3 linked regions of the Saccharomyces cerevisiae S288C genome follow. Each later gene encodes a partner of the first gene's protein in a complex. Each region holds a gene or a part of one and is shown in the gene's direction. Other genes may lie near its edges.

Region 1 (3,786 bases):
CATAGACCTTGAACCTCAAAAACGTGACGTGCCTTTGACCATATCCCAGTAATTTAAAAGTTGTAGAGACAGGGAAATTTAAAGCAGTAATCGTTAGTGGGAAATCTGATACGCTAGAGTCTACCTGTATCGATTCAGTATGAGAAGGAAAAGCATCAGTTTTATCGTCATTTTGTACCGGACGATCACGGTAGTATAACGAAGTAGCGAGCAATGTTGACGCCGCAAACCAGGGCCAATAGTGGAACGTCGAATTAGAACGCCCAGGGTATTTAGTGGCTCGTATACTAGTAAAATTTCTTTTGAAACATTGCCAATGGTTGGTTGATGGAGATTTCTGACATTTAGCTAGTGTTCGCTGGAGTGATTTTAGCATATTGGCGCACCTTCCTCTGTCCATGAAGGGATTCTATCGCGGTTGTAACGCCGTAAGAGTTTTGAATTGATTTTTTCTTGTCAAAACCGAATAGCATTGTAAACATTTTGAGGGGTCCCTCCTAGAAAAATTGAGTCGAAAGGAAACTCAAAAAAACATCATTAGAGTATATGTGCAGCTTTTGGAACAGCGTATGTATTATGTAATTGTATGTAGAAGTCGGCGAAAGTGTCCTAAGATAGAGAGACGAGTGCATCGATTACTTCCTTCCTAGCCTCCGGAGAAGGAGGATCCACAGCAGCTAGGTAGTGGGCAAATAAGAGCTTTCCAATAAGGGGTTCCTTCACTGTGCCCAATATCACAAATTCATCCTTCTTTCTTGCGTAGTAAGACAAATTCATAGAGCAGTCCTTATTCAGCTCAATGAAAAAATCATCATCTCGAGCCACAAGTCCTTTTACGCTCCTGAAACAGTCATGCAATTCTTGGAATCCAGCTTCCAGCCGGTCTTTGTCTTGAGACTGAGAATCTGGGTTCTTTAGGACGCTCTTTTTGGTGCCGTCCATCAATAACTTGAAGGAACCTGCTTTTATCGGAGTATTCTTGGACATTAGTCTGATTCCGCTGTCTAAGAGGTTATTAATCAGGATAGGGGCCTTAGCAGGATCGTTCAAAGCCGCACGCAAATTATCCTGATGTGAGTTTTCCGGTGATGGGGGTGCCGCAGTGTCGATGAACGCCTGAGACAGGAACTTTGAGTCCAGTACTTCAGAGACCAGATGTTTGTCTTCAGCGGCCACATATATGCCCAGACCATATGCTTTGAAAGTGATCGATGAGACACAACGTACACCCTTACCAATCAGCTCATATTGCGTGGAGAAGGGCCACTGTGGGGGGCCCATCTTCTTAGGGAACGCAGAGATGGATGCGTCCACTGCAACGCTGGTGGCATCCGCCTTTTTGATCTGGGAATCGTCATACCATTTCTTCGCGAATATGGATGCCAGTGCTAACCCTGTTAACACAGGCACTACTTTGCTGCCCTTCTTGTTCACACGAGCATTGCCCGCTGTAGTAGAGTAGTGAGAATACCATTGTGGGGCCCTCCTCATACCTACCTCTAGGCAATTTGTTTTCACCAAAACTTTACTGATTAAACGCATGTTTCCATATACCTGGCCTTCTGCTAAGTAGACATGTATTCAACAAGGGGATGTAACCACACGCTGCTTTAATACCAACAAATCGGCCGCTGATTAGTAATAGGTGCATCATTGCGAATACCGAGAAAGGGTCCATTATACGAACTAATCATTCTATACGGCGTCCTTCCTGTTCAAGCACCTCTCTGATTAGTTCCTTTGATTGAGGCGCTGATGTTGCATCAGGCTGCTGGAGCAGATTTAGTTTCTTTAACGTCTCCTCTTTAATATTTTCGATCAGTTTTTCTGTTGTTTCCACTGAGGTTGTGTTAGTAATTAGTGCGGGTGAAGGTTGGGGGTAGAGTGTTGCGGTGAGGTGACATACGTTCCAGCTGCATTCGATGTAGTATTGCGCTGCGCAACTTCTGCCGTTCTTCGGGAGTGAGAGCCGGTATCATCGTAACCGAGTGCGGCAGCTGCCCTTTTGCTGATGTTGTTGCCACTTCTTGTTTACAATTGTATTCTCTTGAAGTTATATGGCATTATAGCTGCCGGGTTATTTCCGCCAGGCGGGTTTTCGCCACCGGAATTTACAACTAAATACACACTTATATCAGACTTTTAAAGCGTAAAGAAAGAAGGGAAAAGTCAATAAATAACTCAGCAGTAACCGCACAATGGTATTGGAAGCTACAGTGTTAGTGATTGATAATTCAGAGTACTCTCGCAATGGCGACTTTCCTAGGACAAGGTTTGAAGCCCAGATCGACTCGGTAGAGTTCATATTTCAAGCCAAGAGAAACAGCAATCCTGAGAATACAGTGGGTCTTATCTCTGGTGCTGGCGCCAACCCCAGGGTGTTATCTACGTTTACCGCCGAGTTTGGGAAGATTCTTGCTGGACTACACGACACGCAGATCGAGGGTAAGCTGCATATGGCCACTGCGTTGCAGATCGCTCAGCTGACTTTGAAGCATCGCCAGAATAAGGTCCAACATCAAAGGATTGTGGCATTTGTGTGTAGCCCAATAAGTGATTCTCGAGACGAATTGATCAGATTGGCAAAAACACTGAAAAAGAATAATGTTGCCGTGGACATCATCAATTTTGGAGAGATTGAACAGAACACGGAGCTTTTGGATGAGTTCATAGCTGCAGTGAACAACCCTCAAGAAGAAACTAGTCATTTGCTTACTGTGACGCCTGGCCCCAGACTGCTGTACGAGAACATCGCATCTTCACCCATAATTCTCGAAGAAGGATCCTCCGGTATGGGCGCCTTTGGTGGGTCTGGCGGTGATTCCGATGCCAATGGCACATTTATGGACTTCGGGGTAGACCCATCAATGGACCCAGAACTGGCAATGGCCTTGCGTCTGTCTATGGAAGAAGAGCAGCAAAGACAGGAAAGGTTAAGACAGCAGCAACAACAACAAGATCAGCCTGAGCAGTCTGAACAGCCTGAACAACACCAAGACAAATAGTAGTGTACAAAAATATCTATATGGGTCATATATAAACCAAATAAAGCATATATAACATCTCCCTTCACTCTTCCAGGTTTGAGTACGCTTCCTCTAAATAGGGGACGACTTGCTTTCTGGTGGCCTCGACGTTCAGTTGCTTAAACATCGCCACACCTCCATCAAGATTGCCCCCAAATAATTGAAGTTGGAGCTTGTCGCTAACCCTTTCAATGAGTTCACGTACCACGTTAGAGTCTCCCAATATGACCAATTCTCTGTGTGAATCACCAGCTTTCCTCCATGAAGTCAACAGAACCAATACATCGAGCCCCCTCTCCGCCTGAAATCTTCTGCATTGGTTGACGAAATCTGCTTCACCACCGTGTTCATTGAATAGCCAAGACATTCTTTTTACTATTGATGAAAGACCAATCTCTAACCCTTTGTGTCCCTTTCCTTGGAAATTGAATTGTTTGTAGTCCTTCTTTAGAATATCGCTTACCGAAAATCCTTTAATATCGTTCTTTCTTGATTTTATCTCTTTATAAAACTCACTGCTGTCCTCTAAACCTTGCGCAGACACTTCATTAACCGCACCACTAAGAACAGCTTGGCATCTCTCGATAGCTAATTTATCACTTTCCTCGACTTTGCGCCTCATATTTGAAGTGTCTATTAAGATGGCCCCCATCAAAAGTGGTGCAATGTTCATCACCACTTCACGGTCACCTTGCAATTTTTCATACCAGTAGTTAAAAACCAGCGATGAGCAACTGCCGGACACTTTTACAATCCGAGG
Region 2 (3,374 bases), on another chromosome or scaffold:
TTGAATATGAAAACTTCATCAATATAGAGTAGCAAACCATTTTTACAACATTTTATATCACGATCTGCGCAAAAACCTTAGAATCCCCGCACAGCTGCCCAATGACAGATATAGGCAACGTTGTTGGTGCTAATCATTTTTAACTTGTTCTTTTTCCTCCTAGAAACCCATTGACAGTTTGCTGGTTATTTTTTTCTTCTTCCGCTTTTGCTGTCGCCGCGAATGAGTGAAGGCTGGTCAACCTGGTTAATTAGTAGCGCTGGCTTTCAGGGTACGAAAGCAATCATGTTCAGACATAGGGTTCTGTCCTTTGCAGCTGATTTGCAACTCGGCCAGCAATTCAAGAACATTTCGTAGTAAGCTGCTTTCAATTATATGCATATATACTCTGTATACAATTTTCAATTTTGAATTAAGTTCCACGGCTGAACGAGAAAAAGATACCTGAACACGCTACCTAACAAAATCCATTCCTTGTTTCTCTTCCCACTCCTTCAGCGCATTTTCCCACTCATCTTCTTCATTCACATCAACAGCTTTATTTTGCAATTCTTGTTCTTTTAACAACGCCGTACGTTTTTCTTCTTCTTCTTTATCATACTTCTCTTTATTGTCTATCCACCTGTCTTGAATGTCGTAATTCGCTATTAATGCACCTTCTCGCGAAGCCTCAGCCCACACGGTATCACCACCAACTTCGGATGCGCCGAATATGTAGCCATTTGCTTTATCTATAACACCTTGAAGATTTATCATACTTTCTTTGTCATCCACGGACAAAACCTCAAATGATACTAAGTTGAAATCTGAGACTAGCTCTTTGATTGTTTCAGTTAACTTGCTATATTTCTTTCCCAGTACACTAGAGCCTTCCTTTTCAATATATGGCTCCAAATAATCCAGATCCTGGACCTCTGTATAATAGTCTAATCTAAAGGGTAATTCTCCGTATGATTTCAGCATATCTATTTTAGAAAAAACGTTGATGTGAGGGAGATCCATCATTAACATAGACCTCAATGCAAGTAACAAAATCGAGATATATTGTGAAGGGGATGTCATGTAAAAACAGTCAATCAAATTTACAACACAAAACCTAATGTCCAATTCCTTTTCCATTTTTTTAAAGATGTTGAACAAAGATGAGTGATGAGTAAATAGCTCCACTTGGCCCGGACAGTCGAATACAAGATATGCTTTTTCTTCTTCTACAAGTGACTTGATCTGTAAAATGAACAAATCAATAGAATTATCCAATGATTCAACAGCATACATCAAACCTCCATTAGGGCCTAACTGTTGCTCTTGCATGATCTCCTCTAATGTTATAAAATCACGAATATCCACAGCGCATGGGTAAGGTAAGGCATCATTAGCAGGATCCATATTCACTACCTGGGAATGTCTTCCGATGGCATTGAAGAACTGTGAGCAGCCGTTGCAATAGGTTGACTTCCCTGAACCTGGTGGACCAATAACAATCTGAGCGAAGGGCATTATTGTACTCTCTAGTAGAAAATCAAAACTATTGACACAACAACAATCAAATGAAAACAAACCATTCTATTACGGTAAGTAGTGAAGACTCACAATGCAATCTTTCAATGAGCATCACTTACTTTAAGTAGCAATATTCCTAATCACTTATTACGAAATTTGATTTTACTAAAGTTCGGGGATACCTCAGTGGCAAATCGTTACTCAAGTTGCACGTAACGTAGAATCTACAATGAAATAATTGTGAAGCCAACAGCTAAGCAATCTATAGTGTAACGTTGGCTTTCTGTACAACTGCTACTGATTGAGGGCATTTTTCGAATTTAAAAAAAGAAAGAAAGAAAGGAAAATCAAATTACAATGTCTCTACAACACGAGAAAGTTACCATTGCACCACTAGTTTTGCTATCTGCTTTGGATCATTATGAGCGTACGCAGACAAAAGAAAACAAAAGATGCGTTGGTGTCATCTTAGGTGATGCTAACAGTTCCACTATCAGAGTCACTAATTCCTTTGCCTTACCGTTTGAAGAAGATGAGAAAAACTCTGACGTGTGGTTTTTAGACCATAATTATATTGAAAACATGAATGAAATGTGTAAAAAGATTAATGCCAAGGAAAAACTCATTGGATGGTATCATAGTGGTCCTAAATTAAGGGCTTCTGACCTCAAGATTAATGAGCTGTTTAAAAAATATACTCAGAATAATCCGCTATTATTAATTGTTGATGTCAAACAACAAGGTGTTGGTTTACCAACAGATGCATATGTCGCGATTGAGCAAGTTAAGGATGATGGTACGTCTACAGAAAAGACGTTTCTTCATTTGCCTTGTACTATTGAGGCCGAAGAAGCTGAAGAAATTGGTGTAGAACACTTATTGAGAGACGTACGTGATCAAGCAGCAGGTGGCTTATCTATCCGGTTGACCAACCAATTAAAATCTTTGAAAGGATTACAAAGCAAACTAAAAGACGTTGTCGAGTACTTAGACAAAGTCATTAATAAGGAATTACCGATAAACCACACTATATTGGGCAAGCTACAAGATGTTTTCAACCTTTTACCAAATCTGGGAACACCTGATGATGACGAAATAGATGTGGAGAATCATGACAGAATTAATATTTCAAATAACTTACAAAAGGCTTTAACTGTGAAAACTAATGATGAATTAATGGTTATATATATAAGCAATTTGGTTAGGTCAATTATCGCGTTTGATGATTTGATTGAAAACAAAATTCAAAATAAAAAAATTCAAGAACAAAGAGTAAAGGACAAACAATCAAAAGTCTCTGATGACAGTGAGAGTGAGAGTGGTGACAAAGAAGCAACTGCGCCATTGATCCAACGAAAGAACAAGAAAAATTAATTCAAAAATTAACATAACATAATATATGAAATAGATGTGTAAAACGCTATGTATTAATACAACATGTTAATTTGCTTAAGCATAATTATGTTCTGTTGAATTTCAAATATAAATGCATAATATCGCCTCTATTCTCGTCCACTTACTTACTTGGTCTCTATTAAAGAGACTGAAGGAATATACATAAGTTTATATTAACGCTCAAATAATCCGTCATCTTCGTACTCGTACTCGTCGGTATATTCACTATCATCAGAATCTTCATCGCTTCTATCATCACTGTCAGTTTCTTCGGCGATTTCACTTTCTCCAGCAATAACACTATCATCATATATTAACTCGTCCTCCTCATCTTCATCCAAATAAACGTTGGCCAGTGTTTCACCTTTAAAGTTATTTTTAGGCTCCACAACATAATGGCCTTCGATATAACAATTGCTGAGTTTACACTTTGAACCGATTTTTGCCATAGGTCCAATAATACAATTTTCCAGGATTAC
Region 3 (3,295 bases), on another chromosome or scaffold:
CCATCCAAGCATTCTCTTCTCAAATACATATGGAGTCCCATAAACGCAGCAAATGATTCCAAAATTATCTCCACCAGGAAGAAAATGCTCAATTCATTCTTGTCTAACTGTCTGAACATTCAAGAAATAAGCAACGATATTGTTTTTCAAAAATTTCTAAACCCTGAATTTAATTGGAAAGATGTTTTAAGTTCGTCGCCGATAATCATACTACCTTTGAATAACCTTTTAGCTCCACCTTTAAGCCCAACAAAACCAAGCCCCCTTCATTCTATTTTACCTATTCCATCCAACTCGTCTCTGAGAAACTATAATTCGATTTGGCAACAACACATCACAGTAAAAAGTCATAATGAAATTTCCAACCTCCCAACAGAAATTTTACAAAACGAATCTCAATTTACACATATTGAAAATTTATTCCAAAATTATAAGCGAATAATCACCCATTTATTAAAAAACATAAGATCAAATAAATCTCATTTCCACTCCTTGTCCACGTATTTTGCTGAATTAGGCGCATATTATAATGCTTTTAGTTTGGAAAATGACATAACCATGCCCAACAGCCTTCGCGAATCTGAAAACAATTCAAACAACCCAATGATGGAAATTATTAGTCATATTGAAAAGACAGGCCATTCATTCGATGTTATATACATTTCTTCCGAGATCTTAATAGAAAAGTACACCTCTATTCTTGAGGACCCCATTAATGAGTTATTGCAGTTCTTAAATGAGTCATTCAAAGTTCTAAATTTCAAGAAATTAAAGTTTTTGCAATTTAAAATATTAGAGAGGCTAATTATCGAAAAAGAAACGAAACTTTCGAGTCTCACTGAGATTGAAAACCAACTGCAGAAGATTAATGAAAGTTTAACGCGGTCGACTATATTGACAGATGAAAATTACAAAGATACAAAGGCTGCTGACCTGACATTTGTTAAAAAGGACGTAAGATCGCTATCGAAGTCAAGTTCAAATTCAAGCTCCAGTGGACACCAAAACGAAATTCATATAGGCGCAAGTAAACTAAACTATAAAACGTCTACGCCAACAATGAATCTCAATAAATTAGAAATCAAACAATTGACTGAACAAGAAAGATCTAAACAGATCAAACAGTTGAACCAAGATTTATCCAAATTGAAAGATTGTCTATCAATCTGTATATCAGACATGCTAGAAATTAACAATTCGTCATACAACAGCTTAATGCATACATATAACCATATTAATTTGACCATTGGAAAGATCTTGAAACTTTTCGCAGCTAGCTTCAAAGCATGGATCAAAGAATGTCTGAAGAATTGGAAACTGGCAAAGTTACAAATCGACGAGGCCCTATAAAAAGCATTACCGTCACGCATCGTGTTGCAAATAGCATATACATATATATATATATATATATACATATAACGTATACGTTAGAAAAATTTGAATACACACATTCATTTATCCTATTATTATCATTTTCATTCTTACCCGCTCCCCGCTTTCATCCGGTGGCAAAAGTAAGAACAAATAAAAGCTAGACCTAGATTGAAGAAACTATTAAGTACCAAAAAGCAAACAGTGGGCACACGCGAGGAAACCACATTATATTTCGCAAGATGTTTAATAATCATGAAATTGACACCATATTAAGCACTCTCCGCATGGAGGCAGATCCCTCTTTGCATCCTTTATTCGAACAATTTGAGAAATTTTATGAAGAGAAATTGTGGTTCCAATTGTCCGAATCCTTGACTAAATTTTTTGATGATGCTAAATCTACACCATTGAGGCTCAGATTATATGATAACTTCGTTTCTAAATTTTATGATAAAATCAACCAATTGTCAGTAGTAAAGTATCTACTTGCCTCTTTGAAGGATTCTAAGGATTTCGATGAGTCTTTAAAATATTTGGATGATTTGAAGGCTCAATTTCAAGAATTGGACTCTAAAAAACAAAGAAATAATGGATCAAAAGACCATGGTGATGGTATTTTGTTGATAGATAGCGAAATTGCTAGAACTTACCTGTTAAAGAACGACCTCGTTAAGGCAAGAGATTTATTAGATGATTTGGAAAAGACATTGGATAAAAAGGATTCCATTCCATTAAGGATAACAAACAGCTTCTATTCTACAAATTCCCAGTATTTTAAATTTAAAAATGATTTCAATTCTTTCTACTACACAAGTCTATTATACCTTTCTACCTTAGAACCATCTACAAGCATTACTTTAGCCGAACGTCAACAATTGGCCTATGATTTGAGTATCTCAGCATTGTTAGGTGACAAAATCTATAATTTTGGCGAACTATTACACCATCCAATAATGGAAACTATAGTCAACGATTCCAATTACGATTGGCTTTTCCAATTATTAAATGCTCTAACCGTTGGTGATTTTGATAAATTCGACTCATTGATAAAAGTTCAAATATCAAAGATTCCTATATTGGCTCAACATGAATCATTTTTACGACAAAAAATTTGCCTAATGACATTAATTGAAACAGTTTTTGTCAAAAATATTAGGATGCTTTCATTTGAAGATATTTCAAAGGCTACACACCTACCAAAGGATAATGTCGAACACCTGGTCATGAGAGCCATAAGTTTGGGTCTATTAAAGGGTTCTATTGACCAAGTAAATGAACTCGTTACCATCTCCTGGGTCCAACCAAGAATCATAAGTGGTGACCAAATTACAAAGATGAAGGACAGACTGGTTGAATGGAACGATCAAGTAGAAAAACTGGGCAAAAAAATGGAAGCTCGTGGCCAATCCATCTGGGTTTAGGCCATTGGCAGTTATATATAAAACACACACGCACACATATATATAAATGCAGAAATAAAATCAACTATCAACAAATATTGTCAAAAATATACTTCGCAACTTTACCATTCTTATAAACATCATTATGCAAACCCAAATCGTCCAAATACAACTTGAAACTTAACTGATAATCCTGAAGACAAGAAATTAAACAATTAGTTTGTCTTAACGTTAATAACTCGTCGCTATAAGAATGCACTAGGTGCATATCAATACTGAAGCGAGAAAGGGCTTTCTTCACGTAAGGCATTACTCTCGAGGGCTCTTCCTCGTACATTTGAATACCATCAGGGAAGGCAAGTCTTGTAAAACAATCATACTCTGGGTATTCTACCAACAGTTCCTTTAACGAGTATATACCATCCAATAGAAATACTCTCTTCACGATCTGCAAAAGTCCCAACATTTGCAATTGCGCTTCACTCATTTTTTCTTGAGGATCTTTGAGTGCAGCTAATATC

What was found. The genes of interacting proteins can lie anywhere in the genome.
Region 2: the proteins of RPN10 (region 1) and RPN8 are in contact, whole or in part, in a cryo-EM structure (PDB 5MPD), measured with the Saccharomyces cerevisiae proteins. Residues at the interface, in NP_012070.3 of Saccharomyces cerevisiae: Asn58 (codon at 2,370), Val61 (codon at 2,379), Leu62 (codon at 2,382), Ser63 (codon at 2,385), Thr64 (codon at 2,388), Lys71 (codon at 2,409), Gln92 (codon at 2,472), Ile93 (codon at 2,475), Leu96 (codon at 2,484), Thr97 (codon at 2,487), Lys99 (codon at 2,493), His100 (codon at 2,496), Glu124 (codon at 2,568), Arg127 (codon at 2,577); in NP_014904.3 of Saccharomyces cerevisiae: Pro55 (codon at 2,020), Glu57 (codon at 2,026), Lys61 (codon at 2,038), Asn62 (codon at 2,041), Asp64 (codon at 2,047), Val65 (codon at 2,050), Trp66 (codon at 2,053), Phe67 (codon at 2,056), Leu68 (codon at 2,059), Asp69 (codon at 2,062), His70 (codon at 2,065), Asn71 (codon at 2,068).
Region 3: the proteins of RPN10 (region 1) and RPN9 are in contact, whole or in part, in a cryo-EM structure (PDB 5MPD), measured with the Saccharomyces cerevisiae proteins. Residues at the interface, in NP_012070.3 of Saccharomyces cerevisiae: Glu14 (codon at 2,238), Tyr15 (codon at 2,241), Arg17 (codon at 2,247), Asn18 (codon at 2,250), Gly19 (codon at 2,253), Asp20 (codon at 2,256), Pro22 (codon at 2,262), Arg23 (codon at 2,265), Thr24 (codon at 2,268), Phe26 (codon at 2,274), Glu27 (codon at 2,277), His77 (codon at 2,427), Thr79 (codon at 2,433), Ile81 (codon at 2,439), Glu82 (codon at 2,442), Glu148 (codon at 2,640); in NP_010715.3 of Saccharomyces cerevisiae: Glu35 (codon at 1,716), Lys36 (codon at 1,719), Leu37 (codon at 1,722), Trp38 (codon at 1,725), Phe39 (codon at 1,728), Gln40 (codon at 1,731), Ser42 (codon at 1,737), Lys72 (codon at 1,827), Ile73 (codon at 1,830), Asn74 (codon at 1,833), Asn116 (codon at 1,959), Asn117 (codon at 1,962), Gly118 (codon at 1,965), Ser119 (codon at 1,968), Lys120 (codon at 1,971).

Annotation. Positions count from the first base shown.
Region 1 is NC_001140.6:496,881-500,666, forward strand, and holds RPN10 (proteasome regulatory particle base subunit RPN10), read left to right. Parts: upstream 1-2,198; coding exon 2,199-3,005; downstream 3,006-3,786. Other genes in the region: AIM18 (Aim18p), read right to left, coding at 1-400; AIM46 (Aim46p), read right to left, coding at 610-1,542; NBL1 (borealin), read right to left, coding at 1,691-1,839, 1,907-1,979; PPX1 (exopolyphosphatase), read right to left, coding at 3,070-3,786. UniProt on the Saccharomyces cerevisiae protein: Multiubiquitin binding protein.
Region 2 is NC_001147.6:815,415-818,788, reverse strand, and holds RPN8 (proteasome regulatory particle lid subunit RPN8), read left to right. Parts: upstream 1-1,857; coding exon 1,858-2,874; downstream 2,875-3,374. Other genes in the region: GTPase GPN2, read right to left, coding at 454-1,497; GCD1 (translation initiation factor eIF2B subunit gamma), read right to left, coding at 3,069-3,374. UniProt on the Saccharomyces cerevisiae protein: Acts as a regulatory subunit of the 26S proteasome which is involved in the ATP-dependent degradation of ubiquitinated proteins.
Region 3 is NC_001136.10:1,320,592-1,323,886, forward strand, and holds RPN9 (proteasome regulatory particle lid subunit RPN9), read left to right. Parts: upstream 1-1,613; coding exon 1,614-2,795; downstream 2,796-3,295. Other genes in the region: SNX41 (Snx41p), read left to right, coding at 1-1,350; BNA7 (arylformamidase), read right to left, coding at 2,863-3,295. UniProt on the Saccharomyces cerevisiae protein: Acts as a regulatory subunit of the 26S proteasome which is involved in the ATP-dependent degradation of ubiquitinated proteins.